2 linked regions of the Styela clava genome follow. The protein of the gene in region 2 interacts with the protein of the main gene of each other region in a pairwise test. Links are inferred from orthologs where the notes say so. Each region holds a gene or a part of one and is shown on either strand. Other genes may lie near its edges. The genes, in order: E3 ubiquitin-protein ligase CHIP-like and ubiquitin conjugation factor E4 B-like.

What was found.
Region 1: the proteins of ubiquitin conjugation factor E4 B-like (region 2) and E3 ubiquitin-protein ligase CHIP-like interact in a two-hybrid assay, tested with the Caenorhabditis elegans proteins (2 studies listed by BioGRID). The link is inferred for Styela clava from reciprocal best matches to the Caenorhabditis elegans genes ufd-2 and chn-1.

What each region holds. Positions count from the first base shown.
Region 1 is NC_135250.1:2,574,070-2,584,881, reverse strand, and holds E3 ubiquitin-protein ligase CHIP-like, read right to left. Parts: upstream 4,618-10,812; 5' UTR 4,612-4,617; coding exon 3,787-4,611; 3' UTR 961-3,786; downstream 1-960. Other genes in the region: hydroxymethylglutaryl-CoA lyase, mitochondrial-like, read right to left, coding at 1-920; ectopic P granules protein 5 homolog, read right to left, coding at 7,792-10,812.
Region 2 is NC_135256.1:17,027,849-17,039,095, reverse strand, and holds the start of ubiquitin conjugation factor E4 B-like, read left to right. Parts: upstream 1-6,398; 5' UTR 6,399-7,927; coding exon 7,928-7,957; intron 7,958-8,284; coding exon 8,285-8,366; intron 8,367-8,919; coding exon 8,920-8,996; intron 8,997-9,447; coding exon 9,448-9,560; intron 9,561-10,085; coding exon 10,086-10,167; intron 10,168-10,936; coding exon 10,937-11,057; intron 11,058-11,247. Other genes in the region: integrator complex subunit 6-B-like, read left to right, coding at 178-313, 896-987, 1,295-1,411, 1,518-1,679, 1,980-2,172, 2,570-2,715, 2,907-3,519, 3,904-4,040 and 1 more. UniProt on the Caenorhabditis elegans protein: Acts as an E4 ubiquitin ligase mediating the assembly of polyubiquitin chains on substrates ubiquitinated by another E3 ubiquitin ligase. The elongation of preexisting ubiquitin chains preferentially targets ubiquitin 'Lys-29' and 'Lys-48' residues.

The sequences.
Region 1 (10,812 bases), on a different chromosome or scaffold from region 2:
AGTTCATTACTTATAAAGGAGCCAACATCAACTAATTTATCCAAATCAATCCCAGTATCCATGCCAGACCCATGCAACATATAAACGACATCCTCGCTGGCAACATTGCCAGATGCTCCTTTCGCATAAGGGCAACCTCCTAAGCCAGCTACAGAGGAGTCTACAATTCTTATATCTTGGTCTAAAGCCGCCACAATGTTACCAAGTGCCTGTCCATATGTATCATGGCAATGCACAGCAATTTTTTCAGAAGCTATTTCAGATAGAACATGTTTTAGAAGCTCTTTCATTTTTATTGCTGTACCAACACCGATTGTATCACCAAGAGATATTTCATAGCATCCCATTTCGATCATTTTTAGGGCCACTTTTACCACCTCCCCAGTGGGTACTTTTCCTTGGTAAGGGCAGCCTAATACACAAGACACATATCCTCTCACTGGCACATTTTGATTTTTCACTGCTTCCAATACAGATTTGAATCTTCCCAGACTTTCTTCAATAGAGCAGTTTATATTTTTTTGACTGAACGCCTCCGATGCTGCACCAAAAATTGCGACCTCTTCAGCTCCTGCGATTATTGCTGATTGAAACCCCTTCAAATTAGGGGTCAGAACTGGGTAATTCACTCCATTCTTTTTCGCGATACCCCTCATGACTTCATTGTGGTCAGCCATTTGTGGGACCCATTTTGGCGACACAAAACTTGTTGCTTCGACAACCGAAAGTCCTGTTTCTGAGAGCTCGTTAATAAGCTTTATTTTCGTCTCTGTAGGAACAATATTTGGTTCATTTTGAAGACCATCTCGTGGTCCAACTTCCACTATTTTCACAAAGTCTGATATCAGTCTTGTGTTCAGTTTTAATTTGTTTTGTTTCAAAAATGTCAATGACGACAGGCACATCCTATTTGATAACATCTTATCTCAGTTTCTTTACTTCTGATAAAATTTGATAAAACTAAAAGAATATGGTTTGTATCATTTACCATCAGTATTTGAGATAGCAAGGGTAAATTAAACAAACATAAAAAACACACTGTCACTCAGATATTTTATATTCTAGCAAATAAAGAAACAATATTTAAAATACACACAAAATGAAATCTTGGTTGAAGCACTTGTAAATGTACACAAAAGAAATTGGAGGTAACGCAGCGGCATGGATATTTTCTTAAATTTGGACTTAATATAGAAGTCCTTAAAGATTGAACTTGGAACAACTTAATAAAAGACAATCAAAATGCAAATCATTGTGATAGTATTGTTACATTGCTCATTTTATTCTGATATACAGGGTGTCCATAAAGTCCATTCACAATTTTAATTTTGTTATGAAGTCAATTCTCAATATAGCTTAACCAGATTTGTTATGTAGGGGCCCAAACAATATATGGTATCGGTAGATTCTTTTTGCAATTTGAGAATTTTTTATGAACATCCTGTATTTGTACACATGGAAGACTAGGAATTTCAGAAGTAAGCAGAAAGCAACACATGCAAAAAGGTTGACATGAGTATTTAATAAAGTGCAAAATCACAAAAAATGCAATGTCAAAAACCACTATCCAAATCATTTCACGAGTAGTAACAAAAAAGTGAAATCCACTAAAGGTAATGTTGCAGGCTACTACGAATTTGGAAGGCAATTACTGTAGAGCAGTGTTTCCCAACCTTTTTATGGCTTTCAGCACTCATGGTCCCCCTGTTCATCATTCCAGTGGTATTTATGGTGTTAATTTGGTTTGTAGATTCTAGGTTCCATACGTGTTATGAGGAGCAGGTCCCACCTGAGACTTGGTGGCTTACCCTCTGGTCCACTTATCTCATAAACTGGGCTTATGTCCCTTTATAGCAGTGATTTCCAAAGTTGATTGACAGGAGGCCAAAATCAGAAGCGGAAGGATATTCGTGGGCCAGGTGAGCGCCCGCAAGGGGCGGTATCTGAAGCGCAAAAAGAAAAAAACATAGTGTAGTGAACTATTTTACTTACATTCGGTGGGCCATGTCAAACTGCTGGCAGGCCAAGGTTTGGGAACCACTGCTTTTTAGCAACTACCAAAATAATAAAACAGCTTAACAAATACAAGGCAATAAAAAATGATATAAATATAGTGAACCGTGTGGCAAAAAAAAGAGAGTTTGAAATAAAAAAAATATGTCACGAGCAACCAGTGCTCCGTTTATTGAAATACAGGATGGATGAAGCATTGATCTAGAGCGGGGGTTCTCCAACCTTTTATGTTATGGAGTTTGTGAAGAAATTGACTATTATTTACGAAGCCCACAACAAATTTATAAAAATGATATACTGTTACATAAAAATGATTCTCCAGAAAGCAACACCAAGCAACTTCTTAACTTCATGTTACATTTTTTCTATTTGCTCCAAGCAACCGGTAGGTAATTCGCCCATACTCGGAGGCAAAGGGGCGAGAAATGAAAAAACTTAGGTCCTAGATCAGGGATTCCCAAACCAGGGGTCACGACCCCAAAGTGGGTCGGAGTGATAAGTAGGCAAGGTCGCAAACAGGTCATGGAGTCGCTTAGGTATGGTAGAGGATGGATGTACAGTCGACTAAGATTTGACAAACCATGTTAAATTTAGCAGTTTGTACCATGGCTTACTGTAAACAGGCCCATAAGCATGGCTCTCTGCTTGTGCTATAGAAAATATAAAGTGCTTATTGTGACATCACTGTTTGGTTTTACCTTATTTTTTTACTTAATACCATCACATGACCAAACTCAAAAGTCCAGTGAAAGAAGTTTATATATATTGACCTGGGGTCGCACTGGACACTTGAAAGTTGTTTTTGGGGCCGTCCTGACAAAAACTAGGGAACCCGTCCTAGATGAAGATAAAAGAACAAAATTATGTCACCCAAACAAAAAAATGAATGTTTCACACAAAAAGAAAGAATACTGTGTAAAAAAATCTATATGTACAAAAATACACTTGAAAAAAATTTAAGTATTGAAGTGCTAAGATCACAAGCCTATTTAGAGTTTTGATAAAGAGAGGAGCAAAAGAAGTGAAAGTGACATCATAATACACTCTTTTGGATGAAAGGTGAAGTTAGGCTATCATAAAGAGGTTCTCTAAACCCAACCACAACAACGAAGTGCTCAGCAAACAGGCTAGGAAGACTTTCTGGAAATCCCTAAAAAAATGCCCATCTCGCATATGATGGTTGGCACATCAGATTCGTGTTCGAGCTGCATGGTCAAGCAATGCAATGGTAGGCACATTGGACCAGTCAAAGATTGAAGATACCAGGTTTAAAACCCCCTGTCCACCGCATCACGCCGACATTGTCAAATCTGTCTTTTCAAAATCATAGCATACCCTTACGTATCAGTAACCTGCTTGTCCAGGGCTTTGTTTAGAGCAGATGTAGGCAACCTTTGAAACAGAAGGGCCAGATACAAATAACTGGTGAAACCATGAGTCGCATCTTTATTTAACATAGGCTTTCTAGTATTTGAGGGCCCAAAAATTTTGGTTATCAATCTTATGACATGCGTTGCTCGCATTGCACAAGCTCAGGTATAGGATTTGGGTCCAGGCTTTGCAACGCAAATGGATAGAAATAACTTGAGCGTACCATTTTAAACTTAATTAAAAAACTTGTTCTGCGGGCCGAACATCATTCAAAATTGGCACTTCTCAGCGGGCCGTATAATTTCTCCTTGTGGGCCGCGGGCCACACACCCCTGGTTTAGAGAAAAAGTTCCAACCCTCTTATATGATTTCACAAGAAAGCGTTTAAATTAAAATCACATCTTAGTAATCTTCAGCCCAACCATTCTCTCCAATAAATTTCTCGATCACTTCGTGTATAGCCAGATTAGGAATCAATTCACTAGCAGTTAGTTTTTGTCTGGTAACGGGATCAAAATGTCCGACCCTTTGCAGATGTTCTTCGAGATCTTTGCGATCGTAAGTTATTCCACTCGGCGTAATAACAGGATCCTTCATAATTTCGAAACTAATTTTTCCGCATAGGAAATCTGGAACTTCACGTGTTTTCCTACGATCATCTACTTGTGCAAATAAGTTATTTAGTTCAGTTCGACGTTCCTCGAATTTTTTTTCTACATTTTTTCGGTCTGTATCGCTTGTGGAGTCGTTTTCGTCCAATTTGGTTATCTCACGTTTTTCGTCTTCAACCATTAAATTAGTGAGATAAGTTTGTAGTTCAATTTCCTGTGAAATACGTTCCTTTTCTAATTTATCCCAGCGTTTTTTCTTCGCGTTTCGTAGCATCGCTGCAATATCATCACCAAAATTTAATTTTTGTTGTTTTGCGAGTGTATGTGCTTTCTGTAACTCTGAGATAGATTCATCAAAATTTTCAAGCTCTGCAGTAGCATGTCCAAGAAAGAAGTGACCCTTGACGGATTGGGGGTCATAATCAAGGGCAGTTTTGCAGTCGTCAACGACGGCTTCCCATTTTTGTAGCTTTATGTTGCACAGAGCCCGATTTGTGAAGAAAACAGCATTATTAGAAGTCTTATTTATTGCCTTCGTGTAGCATTTTATCGCTTCTTCATATTTTTTTTGTGCAAACATACGATTACCTTCTAACTTATACTGCATGGCAGTCATTTTGATTATTTTCTAAATTAAAAAGACAAGATCACATTAATAAAACAACATAAATAATATATAACTTTACAATAAAATTAATAATATTCATTTTACAATTTCAATATTGCAGTGTTGAAACAAGCATAGATAAAAAGCACAAACAAAAATATAATATTTGCTTCCAAAAAATCATAAATACCCAATAAGCACGGTCTTCATTACCAAAATAACAGGTGACAAAAAAAAAGAAAACATGTTTTAATGCAGCTAATTAAGCCAGTTAGAGACGAGGGGTGTGCAAGCGGCGGCCCTCAATGAAAAATTGTGCGGCCCACGAAACGAGTGTTTAATTTAGCTCAATCTGCCCATGGGGTTGCAATGCCTTAACAGCTAGCCTAAGTGGACAGCACATGTCACAAAATCAATAATCAAAATTTATGCGTATGCAACTACTAGAAAGCCTATGTTAAATTAATGTGCTGCCCGCAGTTTCATCCAGTTATTTGCATCTGGCCCTCATGCACTAAAGGTTTCACACCCTAAGTTAGACTATAGCATATAGTTAAGAAGCCATTTATTCATTAATACTGGCAATATTTGGACTATTTATTATTTGCTATCAACATTATGCAAAAATAATAATGGTTGAGGAAATGAGAAGCACATACCATACTCTCTCAAAAATGAAGAAGATCAATTTTTAAGCGAAGTTACGAACAAGAAATGATAAATTTTGCAAGAGTAAGACCATGACACAGGGACCATAACACTAATATGAATTGTTTAGCTAAATTAAAATGTTTTTTTCAGCAACTTATGAACCAATGAATTTCAAATTTTCGACATTAAGAGATGCAAGCCGGTAGAGCATTACTTTTATATAACTGGTTTGTTACTGCTGAGAGAATTCACTTTTGAGCTGATAATAAATTTAACATTGAGCACAAATAAAAAGAGAAAGTCAAAAGATAATAGTATACCAGTATTTTAAAAGACGAACAAGCACCTATCATGTCCCCTAAATGCTGTGATCATCACCAAAATCATACAGAATATTTAAGCAATAAAATGAACAGCATGCATGCAGATTGTCAATAAAATAAACAAATAATAAGAACAGACCATTTCTATGTAACAATACAAAATAATAAGCAATGTGATATCACCTGATGTGGAAAATGACCCAGGGCGCCCCTCTTTTTGAAATGTAAAAAAGTACCCAAATAACTAAACACAATGAGATGGATAATAACAGAAGGATTTATAATAAAAATATCGATTCCTGTGATGAAAGATATCTGTTAACACTAATAGGGAAATCGGTGGTAGTAAATTTTTGGAGGGCAGGTACAATTCACTGAACTCATTAATTCACAACTACAGTTAGGCTCAACTGTACAACGTCTTCACCCTGAATAAAGAAATGAGCAAGCATTCACAGATACGCTAGGAGCCAGGGAGGGGTCAAAGATCGGGACCAACCCCTCCCACATTAATTTTTCGTAGCTTGAAACGCTTTTTAGACCCTCAAAACCCCTAAAAAACTACGTTTTCAGGCCAGACTTGCTAGCTGTTATGGCTCTAACTTAGCAATTAGAAATTTTAGAACCCCCCCCCCCTTATCAAATTTTCAATTTTTGGATAGGCCCCTGCAAGTAGTTACCATATAAAGGTTGGTTCATTTTCAAAAAATTGGATTCCTTTGTGCAATACAAAATTTGGGTTGAAAAGGAAATTGACAGCATGTTTGAATTGTGTTTACAAAGCGCTTGGGTTTTGGGGCAAAGATCCTTATCAAAGCATCCCTTAGTTCTATGGACATTCATGGCTCATATATAACAAATAATAAAATCGGAATTGGTCAAAAATTCACTCCACCATCCATCAATACTCTGAGAATAATACATCAGCAACAAAAAGTAGAATACTTATTGACAAAAGTAATAATAAAAAGAAGTACGAAAAGCTACAATGAACACTTTTTAAAATCGGATTTCAAAAAGACATTTTGGATGTCAAATTCAGCAAAAATAGGATTTATTAATGTGAAATCTATTAAGAAGATTCGGTTAGGAGATCAACTAATGAAGTTTGAAATACGGTAAACAATACAGTATTTTTGGTAATTTTGGCATCAGCTTATTTTAGGTACTTGCTTGAACTGTGCAAATTGTACCAAGGAATCTCAAGTCCATGCAGCTGAACCAATTAACTCAGGAGTGGGCAATTAATTTTCCTAGTGGGCCAGTTACTGGTAATATACTTGGTTACTGGGCCGGAAGCTCAAACTAACTGGTCGACTATTTCCACACCCTACTCAGGTACTTTCTCAGACCGTACCAGGCAAGGTACAGATAGCCAAGTTCATGCATCTGAAACTAAAGATTGTTGGTGTTTCCATACTGGTAAAAGGCTCGTAATATGATTAACTACTATGGCATTTTATTCTATTAGCCATCAAAATTTCTATCGAAGAGTTGAAAATATTAAGACATGAGCTCCATGACCTAATAATAAATTTGGGAATCCCCATCTGCAAATGAAAATTAAAAGTTTTAAGGACATACACAAATGAATTACAATATACTGTAGATCAAATTATTGTAGTACCAGTACAGTTCAATAGGGATTCTTTTGGAACTATGCTGACAGAAATAGGATCTCAAAATTTAAAATACACATATAATTAGAGCATAGTATAATGACAAATTTACAGACAAATATTGCAAAATAAACAAGGAGAAATAATCAACCTTACACCCCAAATTGGCCCCAAAAGTTGGCTGTGATTTGTGGTTACGATAATACAAACAGAATAGGTAGTTTAATTATAATGATATTATGAAAGAACTTTGAAATAAAACCTCGCCTGGCTACGGTTCAGGCCTAAAAAACTGAAGGTTGATGAACAAGTTATTTAGAATTCTAGAAACGAGTCTGCAGAGTCTGAGTGTTTTTTATTGGTAATAAAATTAATTCAGCAGTTCCATTTTTGAATACTGTGTGGACTCCTAGCTTTAAACTCCCAATGGCAGTGTATAAAGTCTAAATTTCTGATAGGAACCTAATAGGTCGAGATCTTGTTGGGCATAAATTTTCCCAGGCTCCCCAGCTAAGATATACCGGTAACTAACTTTGTGAAAAGGATACATGAATACCAACATTTTTGGATATGAAAAAACATTTTTGAAATTACAATTATAGAACATTCAACCAATCAGCCTCCTTTTGATAATGGAAAGCAAAAATATTTTTCATCAAAGACAAATGGGCAGCACATGTAGGCTTATCACTAATCTGTTGTATTAGGTCTAATAGTTCATGGATTCTGTCAATTTCTTGAGTGTACGTCCGATTTTCAAGAGGCATTTTCCGTAGACTATCAATGGCTACTTGAGCTTTGGTAAGAGTATCCTCTCCTTCGGGCCGTAGTCGTGCTGTTATCTGTTGAATATGAACTGAGATGCAACGAATAGAGACTCGAAATCCAATTGATAATGAAGTAGCACGTCCGATTCCAAAAGTTCCGAGTATGCCTGTCTTAACACGGTCAGTACTCCAGTGCTCTAACACGGGAAGAAGTGAATGAAAACTCTCGGAAACTGAGCTAAGATTAACTTCAGATTCTGGGGAGAGTTTAGCGTCCTGTTCCAACGTATCACAAACTTTCAATGCATATCCAATTAAAAGCAACAATTTGGCTTCATTATCGCTTTTCGGAATCAAAGACGAGATCCATTGTACAATAGAGAAAAAAGCACTATACATTGGGCCATTAGAGTCATTTCCATTGCCGCAACGTTTCGCTTCATCGACTATATTTTGCGATAATGCAAGTATAGTATTAATGCACCCATTTGATAGACATGCTTCTATAAGCTCACTCTGGGAGACTTTACAAACTTGACTTAGGGTGTGGCAAAGATTCTGCCACAAGTTCAAAACTTTTGGGAGCCTATCGTCGGATGTGGTTTTATCCACTTCGTCGTTCACTTCTGGGTGATACTTAGAAATCAATTTCAAACATGAATCAAGCCCGTATTCAGCCACTACAGCTAAATGCAGAGGACTTGAAATTGTGTTTGCTGCCGAAGATAGAATGCTTGTCAAAACCAAGTCGACAGTTTGTAGAGATTGTGTGTCCATTGACAAATCAAGCGTCGATAAAACAACTTCATTAAGGAAACTTAAAATCTGTGATCTTGTGATTTCCTGTAATTTCGAAGTAAATGTATTCATGCTTCTCCAAATTTCGGAATAAAGAGAGGAAAGTCTAGTTTCGTCAATGCCAGAGTCAAATTGTACGACAAGCAAAATACTTCTCATTAGTTTCATAACTAAATTTGATGTCACAGCTTCTAGAGTTTGAATTTCACGCTTATTTTGTGTCTTGGCTGAGTTTCGAACTAGTGTCCCTACACACCGAATAAAGGATTGTCTTTTCATCCACGTAATATCAACAGTCTCTTTTGAATTGCAGTTTTCCATTACCTTTTTCCAGTCAAAATCTTTTTCCAAAACTGGCAACCCTGAAGCGATTTGTAGTAGTCTCAAAGCAGCATATCGTGGTGATTGTAATTTCTGGTCTTCACAGTCGAAAATTGTACAGAATGCGTGAAATTGGTCCGCAATTATATTGGCAATAAAATCAAACTGGTCATAGCCAATCAAATGCCAAGGAAAAACATCGATAGAAGTCAATAAATGTTGCAATTTGGGGTAAGAGTGTAATCTTGCTTCATTTGAGCTCAGAACATACAAGACATGTAACAAGTAGCATAATACTTCAGATGTGTGTTCTGACCACTGATGTGTAGCATTTTCAGGGCTCGAAATAAAACACATTTTCATGATAGCTGACCAGTCAATTTGTGGTACAACATGGCATAGGAAATGAAGAGAACAATCAATTCTAGTGTTACAAAGTTGGACCATTTTGTCTAAGTCTGTTAAATTTGGAATAAATTTATTCCAAGGTAAAGCGCTGAGCGTGGTTTGATAAGAACCGCATATGTAACTTGGTGATGTCTTCTCATGAGCTAAAAGAGAATTGTTAAGATAAAATTCCCATAATGAAGACACACTTTGAGACACATCCATTGCTTTTTCACTACAGATCGAATTGATAAGAGTCGCGAATACTGTTAGGATAGACGACACAGTTTCTTGGTCGTCAGGTTTCCATGGCCATTGCATTTTTTCTTCCATTTTCAGCGGATCTAGCCATGCGGAAAAGAGCGGCAAAATTCGGTCCACTAAGCAGGCATGGTGGCTGAAATAGGTAGTGCCGTTTATACCCTGTTTTGATTCGTTGTAATTGATTTCGAAATCGATTAATTTGTGGAATAATTTTGTTAGAGGATGAACATATGGTTTCCATGTAGTGTACAATCCTGATTTTGTTGTTTTTCTTTCCTCTGAAAAATACACAGCTAACTGTTTTATTGCTGTATCAACAATTTCATAGGAAAGTCCACATTTTGATTCATTTTTGGCAGAATTTTGCACATTTGATTGCTGTGGATTGAATGCCGCATCGGTTAAAACTTCCCAAGTCATTGGATCCACATTGCCTTTATAACTGGCTTTTAAAAGTGAATTGATAGCCTCAAAGAAGACTTGGTCCTGTGAATGCTGAACTAAAATGCTTAAATGAGTCATAAACACTTCTTGAACTGCGGAGTTCGATAACTGCGTAGACTGGGACCTTGTGAGCGTAGTTTCTTCAGTAGAATCTTCAGGAGGCCATGAAAACGTAGTGTGCGACACTAGACCGTTTATTATGGCATCTAACAAAGTGACTTTCTCTGATTTCGGCGGCATATACGCGTCACACCAATTTTCCAAATCAAATTTTGTGATAAGTACAAAAAGAATGTCAGATGAGTTACTAGTTGATGCAGCATTTACTACACGTTTATACATGTCGACAAAAACTTTAGTATCAAATTCAGTGTGTAAACTGCCCTCATTTTTGACTCTAGAACATGATTTTGCTGGCGAAAAATGCGCTGAAAGTAATGCAGCTGTCTCCGGGCGTTTCAGCATCTGTTCTAAAAGGGTAACAGCCTGATCTGGTTGTCCATAGATGAAGACTTGCCCTAACATATCAATACAGGTTATTAGTAAATGCCTCGTCGGGGGGCACTTCCATCTTTCATCAGAATTCAGATCTGCAAGGTTATAGAAAAGCTTTGCTCCATTTTCAAAAAGCGCTTT
Region 2 (11,247 bases):
AAATAACTATTTTATATCGGGCATGGACAAATAGTGTTGCAGGGAGGTCTAAAAATGGCCCTACTAATACTACCCATAACTTTTTGTCAAGTTCCTCTTTGTGCTGTTTCAGATGTGCGAGCTTCCACAGAAAACAATTTTTCATCGGTGGCAAAATTTTTTATTTTTGTATTTCAGGTGTATGTAGACAACAGTGGAAAATATAGCGATAATTCTCCTCCACCCTGTGGTTATCTCAAAGCAAGTTCAAATTTATCTTGTGTCAACTTATTTGTAATGCCATATAATTATCCGGTTCTTCTCCCTTTGATAAGTAAGTATAGATTATAAATTTTTCAGATTATTTTTCATGTGAAAATTGGTAATTTTATTCCTGACCAATTAGCAGGATTGGTTAACAGCAACATTTGGGGTGGATTGAAGCAATTATCAAATTTCTAAGAAATGTAGATTGTAATGTAATGACCCTATTCACTGTGTTTCTTAGCACTGGCTTGGTGTTGTAGGGTGGTCATTGATATTCCAGTTTACTGGCCAAGATGTAGCCTATTTAATTATTTAGTGTCTGCCAATGGTGAACAGAATCATACAGTTTTAAATAATAGTTATGTAATTAACCCTGCTGTCAGATAAATAGCCTAGATCTATTTAACATATGTCTAAAATGTTGAGGTCAAATCATCGAAGGTCTAATCGGTTCGGTTTACTGAAGTGAAAAGATTCTTCCAATGTTTTATTTGAGTATGTAAAATCGACTGCAATTTTTTTTTTAAATACAGCAAATAAATTTGAGAAGGAATATAGTCATCATAAGTCCAGGGATTTCTTATGATAAATGGTTCGTTTTTTCTTCTCTGAATAATGTAGGTAAATTTGTATCAATTTTATTTTCTAGATAAGTTGATAAAAAACAAGATGAAAATGATTCCGAGCTTGAGAGTGGAACTTGAAGATTACCTAAAAATGTTACCAAGTTATTATATTGGTGTAAGTAAATTATATTCGAATTAGAAATTCTTGTGTGGTAGGTGTTTAAGGTTGTTGTATGTAATGTCAATTTCCTCCGTGTGTGGTAAAAATAACAATCATAGCAGATGTTTTTTTTTCAAGAGAAAAACGTGTAAAACTCATAAAGAGTGATTCTGAAATTTCTCGTGAAAATTAATATGATATAATAAATGGGTAGTACCAAGATGTTGTATATTCAAGTACTTGATATACACTTGTAAATAAGTTTATTTTTCATACTTTCAGCTTAAGTATGTCATTCACAGTTTTGAATATTTATCTTTAGGCTGTAAGAAAAGCAATGCGGCAACTTGGAGTTCCAAATCTTGTTCCAGATTCTCTTGAAGTTGGTCTTAGTCATTCTGTACTTTCATATTTCAAAAAATTGAAGCAACAGGCCAAGGTAAAAACTAAATTTTATTAGTTATTTCAAGCTATTCTATCAAAATGATATTATTTAACAATAAATGTTCATTTTATTACTTTATACCATTGTGTCTTGTTTACAGGCAAGTGCTGATAGAATAATGAATTCAGTGGGACACATACCTCCTTACGTCAACAAAGGAATCAGCATTTCTGGTCGATACAACACACTTTCTGTGACACAACTTCCCAATTTTAATCAAATTCTCGCTTCTGTAACTGAAAACGCATCCTTGATGCCAAAGGTAATGGTTTGCATTGATATTTTGATACCATTCAAGTCTCAGAGACAGATAAGTGATCCTTATCACGCGATGGAGTCAAAATGGAAAGACTCATTTAATCCAATAGCTTTTTTTACTCAATTATTGTACAGTAGGATCTGCATACTATCCACTGTATGTCTTCAAAATGCAAGATGTAGTTGCCGATTAAATATAGTTTTTTACAATAGAATAAGCTAGCATTAAATACAACATGCATTTGGTTATGTGATACATATACATAGAAGTCTTGTTACATGCCCCCCTGCTCTTTTACTACAGGTTGACTTGAATGAATTTCCCAATTTTCACATCGGGGTAAATTCGGGGGATGGTATGAAAGGAAGGCGGATGTATCATAATGCTTTTGATGTTCCAAGATCTCAACTTTTGAATCAAGTTCGGAAAATGAAAGTGAATTTCCACAGAGTTTTATCATCAAATCAGTTAACAAGAATAAGACTTCAAGACAAAGGTACCTTTTTAATAAAACCCCTTAGATCGGGTTTTACTAGTAGATATCATGGAATGCAGAGATTGGTTAACTACCCATCATTCATTTCATATTTTTTTTATATGATATCAAGAGTTGATTTTAAATCCTGTGAGGGGGAAATGTGAGAGAGGACAGCTGGACTCATTAGTGCCGTAGGGTGGTTAACATAGCCACTGATCGGTTGCGAATTTCTCCCCCATCATGCAGATGAAAAATACCTGGTCAACTATTCCCATTTCCCACTTGCTAACTGGTAACCAGACGAGAGACTATGGTTCAACATATGCTTAGGCCATTTGATCTATTTCCTCTAAAATTAAATAAATACCCTATCTGGTATTATACGGTTTGCTGAAACTTTTACATCTTGCTTTAGCTGAATTGCACAATCAACCAATTTCAACAATGGGAAACTACCAAGAATATTTGAAGAAATTTCCCCAACCACTTAGGGAACTTGATCCAGACACACCTAAACGACTTCACACATTTGGAAATCCATTCAAACTGGCAAAAGAAAAGGTAAATGTAACGTTTTGGCGGTTTTCTAGAAGAATTTCTAACAGGTTTGAGTAATGGTCCTTGGTATTACTAGTTTATCTTCAATGTACAGCATAAAATTAATTTAATGACCTGGGAAGTCTGGGCTGGTATAAAAGTTTTGTCATTTATAATCTGAATATTGGTAGTTAATTGGATTTTCCATCCTGTAGGGCATGATGATTGATGAAACAGAAGATTATGATGCACCATCATCTGGTAATAAATCAGGTAGATCAGGCGATGCCGGAAAAAGAAACAGGAGAAAGCGATCAGCTAGTCCAATGCGACCCGGTACACCACCTGTGTTTAAGAAGAGTCATTTATCCACACCTGGTTTCGTCAACAATCAAACCAACCCTGCTGCTGTGGTTACCAACCATCAGACTACTGATAATCATAATTCTTTACCTCATGCTTTTTTAAATGGAGAAACTCGTCCTCCCAATGGTGCTTTAGAACTGACTGAACCATCTGCAATTAAAACGACTCCTTCTGATATTGCAGCCAAGCTGCAAGCATTGAAATCTAATTTAAAGCATAATATGTCGGAAATGATAGAACTGGAGCCAAAATTGAAGCATTCAGACTTACTCAATGGTAAAGGATCTGATAATATGTCACTAAGTGATTCAATGGGTTTAACAAATGACAGTGTATGGAAAACTATGCATAGAAAACACAAACAGAAAAAACCCAAATCTAATAAAGCAACTGCAGAAATTGAAAACGCAAACTCTAGCATCAAGGATACAGTAATTAAGTTTGTCAGAAAACCAGGAAAAAGTAAGTACACATAAAATAAGAACTTCCACTGTTAATTGGACTGATTACTGTAACTGATGCTAAGCTTATCTTTTATGGGTATGGTATTTTCTATCAAGGCTATCACTGGACTTCATCATTACTGTAACTGAAGATATGCTTATGGGATTTTCTATCAAGGCTATCACTTGAGAGATTAAATGAGTTTTATGCAAATAGTTGAAATGTAACTTCCTCGAGTGAATCCCATCACTAAATCATTGATTTGATTTTAGTAATTCCGTTATGATGACATTAGTACAGCCACCTTCCTCATTTGATGGATTAAATTCACTTCTTATTGCAGTTACCATTTCATCAGCATTTGCATATTTTGAATTGTCCAACATTTTTTTTTATCTGTAGATGACATCAATATTTTCAACGAGCTTCAAAAATTAAAAGGTCCTAAGTCAAGTTGGCATCCAGTGTTGTGTTCTGTGATCAAAGAAGCACATCGTTTTAAAAAAGATAACTTAATTCAGCACTTGAAAAAATTTGAAGTAGGTAGTAAAGGTTATAATATAAGATGAGAAATAATATTATTTTTATTAATCAAGATTAAAACAAAATATACAATGCAATGTGTTAATGATGACTTTGTTATGAAATAAGGTCATGATGCTAATGACTGGCATATAATGTTATTTCACCTTGCATGTCTATATGTATAATGTATATGGTAATGTATGCCCATTGTAATGCAATCTAAATGGCGGTATATAGAGCCTGTATTCACATCAGTTTGGAAGTTGCCTCATACTAAATTTATTTTGAAAAGCAAACTAATGTGATTAATTTACTGTGTGATATCAAATTTTAATATTATTTGCCCACAACATTGCTATCTGGTGCCATTAATTTTTTCTCAAAGCTGAATATTATTGTTGCACAGGAAACATTAGAGAAACATTTGGCTTCATCACCGCAACCGCACAAAGTTGATAGATGACAGAATAAAAATTATGCTGTGGAGCACAATAAAGACAAAGGATGATGGTGATCATTTCGTGTGATATTGGCGGATGCTGAAGTGACAGAATTGCTGACTTTATGAAGTATCAGTGTTTGCTGGAAGGTTGAGGCGCTGAGAAATAAAAGTAAACACCTGTTGAATTGACCTGTTCTGTGGTGCTTTCATCTCAGTTTAAAATTCTTCTAATGTTCAGTTTCAATAAGATGAAAACATTTTATATTGTTCCAGATCATAGGTGTTGTTGCAATTCTAACTATCCTCGGATAATAATGGATTATCCTTTATCCTCTTTAGATATACAATACTGATATTTCCTGATCTTCAGTTTGATCATATTTGGTCTTTCTTATATTAACACAATTTTTTCAATTTGTCTTTGTATTCTTCTGCAGGATTTTTGTTTCTAAGTGAATTTTTTTATATGTCCAATTTAAGTTTCCACACACCAAGCTGACTGTTGTTATCATGTGATATTGCTCTGTTTTGAGCTGTTTGTTCCAAAATGTGAGAAATGCACCAGTGGTCTATTTTTGCTTGAATTCGGGTAGGTATGGAGAGTGGTCTTGAAATTGAAAGCTGATATGGTTATTTTAAAGCTGGTGCAGATAGATTTATCATTGCATGTAGAACAGTTTTCACATCAGGTCCAAAGATAAAAAAATAATTAGAAATTGTATCTGTGAAGCGATGCGAAGGGTCGGCGACCTATCCAAGAAACTATGCACTAGAAGGAATCCATACACTGATAAATTGTTTGGGCAGAATATTGCCCTTTGAGCATGGAAATGGCTAGGAGACTTTGAAATACTGGGTGATAAATCATCTGGTTCAGCATCCACATTTTCCACTCTCACAGGATAACTCCGTCTGACCAATGACAACATATATTCAGAAATCTTGATATATACAGTATATATTGGGAATATATATTCTCATTGGGCTGACTTTGATAGAAGTGAAAAGAGATTATATTGGGATAAGTTTCAACCATCGTTATTTCTTCGTTCAAATAATGATTCTTATCCTTGAGGTAATATCATACTTAACCCGTAAATTAGAGCAACAACGAGTTGATAGAGATTCATTATATTCATTTATCTGGCGGCCCCACGACTGAGGGAAATGTGTGTATGTGTCACTTCTGGCGGATTCGCCTGATGATGACTCAGCTGTTTGTCAGCATTTTCTTTCTTTCCAGTCGTTCGCCCATGTTGTTGTTGCTATGCATTTACAGAATTTTGCAATTGTCACTCTGCCACAGAATGTGTACAGCGCAGTCGATATGTTTAGTTGAGCTTGACAGACAGACAGAAGGAATGGTTCCACCAAGAGACCAAAGCTACGAGGTTAGGTAGACACATACAGGCATCTGGACACGTCTGCATGTTCAGATGTTGCAGTGTTCAGTGACTGTCTGAAAGTTGGCCCGGAAGGTCATTGTCTTAAGCTACGGTAAGTTAGGTCAGTAAGTACAATACGGTTGTAAGGTCTGAAGGTAGGTGTTATCTGGTTATAGCACAGTGCTGCAGTGATATAAGGAAATAATGAATATGGTATGGTAGGTAATGCAATGCCTGAATTCAGCAATAATTCATCTATCAGTCTATTTTGAAAATGTCTCACTTCATACTGTTATCCATGTTTGTTGGTAATTTAAACTAAACGGAGTTTCAATCAATCAATTTCATTTCGATCACTCTGAAAGAAACAAAACAACAACAAACTGACAAACAAAATGCAGAGGATGATGGGCATAACTTACAAAAAAAGTTTAAAACGTACAAGTACAGAAGTACATGCCCCTCCATCAAAAACAGTCAAAAGAACACTATAAAAGTCTATAACAGCTTCTCCTGTTCTCTGTCATGTTCGAAATGCGCTGCTCAAAGTCACCTGTCTAACAATTTTGAAAACAGTTGGTACAGTGGTAGCATGAAAGTCTAATTACTGAATTGAGGCCAGCTAAATGCTTGACCATATTAATAAACTTTATGCTGTCACCACTGTCAGACTGTAGACAATTTTTGCTTTGAACACAGCTTAAGTCTGTAAGATTTTTTTTGTTATCTCTTGACATCTTTGATAGACATATTCCTGTATTCATCTTTCATTTTCTCCAAAAATGATATCATTTTTTCCATTACAGTATCTCTTTATTACTATTGCTGTATTGTGACATAAATTTCTTCATAAGTACAAGACTCATGAGAGGCTACAAATTATTGTTTTATACAACGGTTGGTGGTATTGTGTATTACACTATGTACTGGAGCATTATGAAAGATTCCAGTCAAATAAAGATAAAGAAAAATATGAAGTATACAAATCCTGATGACAAAGGTACTCAAGAATTGAATCAAAAGTTTATGAAAGTTCTCAAAGATGCAGCAGCACTTGATGAAAATATTGTTTATCGAGATTTTAATAGAAAAAATAAATAAAAGGTTGTTTCTATTCACTAACTGAAGAAAGAAGTTATTGTTGTTTTCATCCAGGAAAAGTTTTTTTTTCCAATGGGAAGCAAAAAGTAATCCATGTTACAGACTCATGGTAGGTTAGCGGTGGCACAACAGTACCGCATATATCAGGCCAATCATCAGGAAAACAATTCAGACCAGTGGTTCTCAAACGTTCATAATCGATGGTCCCCTTCCTGAGACTTTCAATAATTGTGGCTTCTTACTCTTTTATAAAAATACATGCTTTTTCTTTAGGTTATGTGTCATATTTAATAATAAAAAAGCCAACGAAATAAAAATTCATCATCATTCAGTCATTACAGTCAAATTATGTTAAATTAATGTAGTCATGCCGCAGTCGGGGGTCCAGTTGTACAAAACTGATAGCAATCCATGGTCATTGGTTTGGTGTGTGATAAAGTGAGGTATGGAACAAAGGTAACAAATGTGTCAATAAGTTCAAATTTTGCCCATAAGGCCAAAAGCAAATGTCTAAACCTGGTTGTTGGATTTTGAGAGTGTTATGTATGACTTTTCTTTTGGAATAAGGCATCCATCCAATGTTTTTTGTCGGTCATCGTGGACTAGACTCCATTACGACTCACTTACAGTAGAAAAGAATCTGATGATTTTTGTCATACTGATAAAATATGATAAGTTTTGTCACTCCTATTATTAGTGTTCCAGATCAAAGATTCAAAATACCGGTATTGAATATAGTTCAACATCACACATCTGGGTTGTCTTTTGTCTTATAACGACTCCATGTCTGAGATGTACTTATGCTTATTGTACTAAACTTATATTTACTTGTGCTTTTGATGGTTTATTAATTAACCTAATTTGTGTTCAACATTATTATGTTTTTAGATAAATTAAGAATAATTATTCTAGACAAAATTAATTTTTGTATGATTCACTTGGGTCGGCTGTTACACAAATACCTACCACTGAAATGAGTGAAAACACAATCACTCAAGATGAGGTAAGAATTGAATAAAATTACGGTATGCTTTTACCGTACATGGTAAACAGTTTGGTTATATTTTTTTTGTAATAAAATAAAAATGTCCTATAGGATATATTTCACAACGAAAGGACTTGGGCCATGGTATAGTTGTACAAGTTGATAACTGGGAGTATTTCTTCATGTGACATGGAATATTAAGATAAGAATTATAGACCTATTGCTATAATGATTAAATCATATTTCTGGGCATCATTTACATATAATTTTAATATTGGATTTCTTTACTTGTTGAGTAAGCGATTTTCAGTTTGTTTGCATTTTTTACCGACATTTTTGATGCAGATGCGAAGACGCCGGCTTGCACGCTTAGGCGGAGATACTAGCTCCCCACAGTCAACTCCAGTAGATAAAGAAAGCAAAAAAGGTTCATAAATATTTTCTAATTTGCATATTGTTATACAACGAAATCTGACTCCCAAAAAGTGTACAGAAGTACCTTTACATTCATGCATATATCAGAGTTGTGAGCATATACATTGCAATATGGTTGTGCTAACATGTACATGCGTTTGAGCAAGATTGGAAGCATAAAAAATGGTTATTTGTGAATCATAATTTTAAAATATATTTGAAAAGTGTTTCTTTTCTTTCATTCTCTCAAAATTCCTGGTTTGTTTCTACCGCTTTCTTTCCAAACAACACACTTTTTATTTCTGCTCAGCAGTTTACCGAGATAAAAATCACTGGAATTGAGCATGATCTTTCTGTATGCATAAGTTTTTTGAAGTGTCTAATCGAGTTTATATCTATATATAACCCACCGTTTTCCTTTCATCTAATCCTTGCGAAGACTGTCTTTTTATGTCTCAAGCAAAGTAATCAATACCATACCAATACATGCTTATTGGCTGGAGCCGCTTCATTGATTTGTCACTGATCATATCTAAATTCATGCTTTATTGAACATTATTTGACAGGAAACTCTAAATCTCTAGATACTTCACCAGAATTTTCAAGTCCAAGATATAAAGTAGCGAGATCTTCAGCAACAAGTGTGAGTTTTTATTCAAGTCATTGTTGAATAAGTATCAGTATTCAACTGAAATTGAAAAACTTTGAATTTAAATTTTTTATGTTTTATGAGGTTGATATCTTGAAGTTGTATGTTAGGTTTAGGAAAGTGATTCCATATTGAAGCCATTATCACGATTTTGAGCAACAAATACGACATGCATTTGGCTTGGAAAGTAAGATGAATGGATGGATGGTTTTATTCAGAGACAATTTCCCATTGACAAATTGTTTTTATGGCGATATGACCTGGCTATCACTTTGGCTATAGATGGCTAATTTCTGCAATAAAATTTTGATATGCACTATAAATTGAATCAAGATTTCACTGAATATGGCAAACAAAAGATTTATTATTTGATATTCCAAAGCATGTATTTTGAATAAAATAAAATCTGATGTTTCTGATACTGACAATAATTTTATTTTTGCAGTCATTGGCAAGTGATAGCAGTAGCATACCACATTCTCAAGCAGAAGATGATGATATTTTGTCTCCAAATCCAAAGCGCCCTCTGGAAGTTTTAACTGGTGCTATAAGTTCTAGGTAATATATACAAATGAATTTTTTGCTAACAGTTATGCTGTCAAACTCAGACAATTATATTCAGACATTAGTCTATATAAAAGGGATCATTTTAGATAGTGTTTGACACACATAACGGAGCAAATATATTTTCACATATACGACTAGACACATTTCTGCTGTTAATTTTTTAATATGCAACTTACTTGCTATGATGGTACTAATAACGTAGGGGCCTACTATAATGTACTATGTGTACAATTGTCATGATCAGTCATCTGTGAAAATACTAGTTGCCAGAAATACAATAAAAATACAGTTACACTGCATTCCTTCACGAAGAGAAAATATGATTCTTTAATCATGTTGAGTCAAAGTTATGACAGAAAAGCCATCAAAATGTATGAAAAAGCGAATCCACTTTTTGGAGAATTCATGAAATCGCTGCCTGTTATCATCTGTGACTAGAATTAAGAAACAAAAAATAAATTTAGCGCAGGGATGTTCAAAATGAAATAAATAATCATCAATAATATTTAAATGTAGCATATCAATGGATGTGGATTCTGGTATTGCTTCATTGAATGATTATGTTGACAATATGATATCAACTCAGACTGATGATATGGTGAGTTTTCTGTTTTGTTTGGAAATCAAAAAAACTCTGCAATGTAATTTGTTTTTATCTTATATGACAGTCTTCAATCAAAACTATGTAAAAAATACATTCGGTGTCTTATGATTGGCAAAAAATATGGTTAAGAAGAATCAATATGCTTATCTGTTGAGATGCCAATCCTGGTTTCTTTTTTGGTATACTCAAATTGGTAAAAGGAATTCTATACAGGAATGTTCATTGGGGGTAGGAATAAAAGAAAAAGAACTACTTTAATGTCGGCTAAATATTTTTTGCTCCCATAATATATTATTACCATGTCCATGCATCTGAAACAAATAACTGCTTCAATAATAGACTGGTAACCGAGCTATGTTTCACCCAGAGCTGTGTCAAGAGTTTATTATGTTTTCACTGGAGTCAAGAGTCGATGTCGTATTTTCAAACTCACTGGAGTTAAGTCAAAATTCTGATTTCCTCGGAGTCGAAGTTTGATTTTCAGACTTTTGATGATGTTAAAAAGTCTGGACTTTTCAAAGAAACTCAAAGCATTAAGTTTATATCATTTTTATCAGAATTTGGAATCACGACTTGAAATTGGGTACAACCCAGTATCAGGGTCAACATTTTTTTAATCTGGAGTTGATGGCAATTTTCTCTAGACTCCTGATCCATGGTTTTACCATATTATTAATAAGCCATCTTTTCGGCTGGAAAAAATCCTATCAATGGTTTAAATTTCCTATTTTCGAAAATGTGTGTTTGTCTTGTATTGATACAGGTCCTCATCAAAGATATCCCTAAAATCCAATTGATAGCAGACATATTACAAAAAGTATCTGGAATATCTGAAGATGATATTAAAGCATTACATTTAAATCTTGAGGAAGACGAAAAAGAAGGTAAAATTAGATTTGAATCTATCCATTTTTGTGGTGCTTGTTTCCTCTTCCTCAGACACACATTTGTATAGATATAGTACTGGTTAATGTGAATCTTTTTTGGGAATGGTTAACCATTTTACACGCTAAAGTTTTTTCTAAATACTAAACTGCAATGCTATAATTTTGATATACTTAGATTATGTTCAAT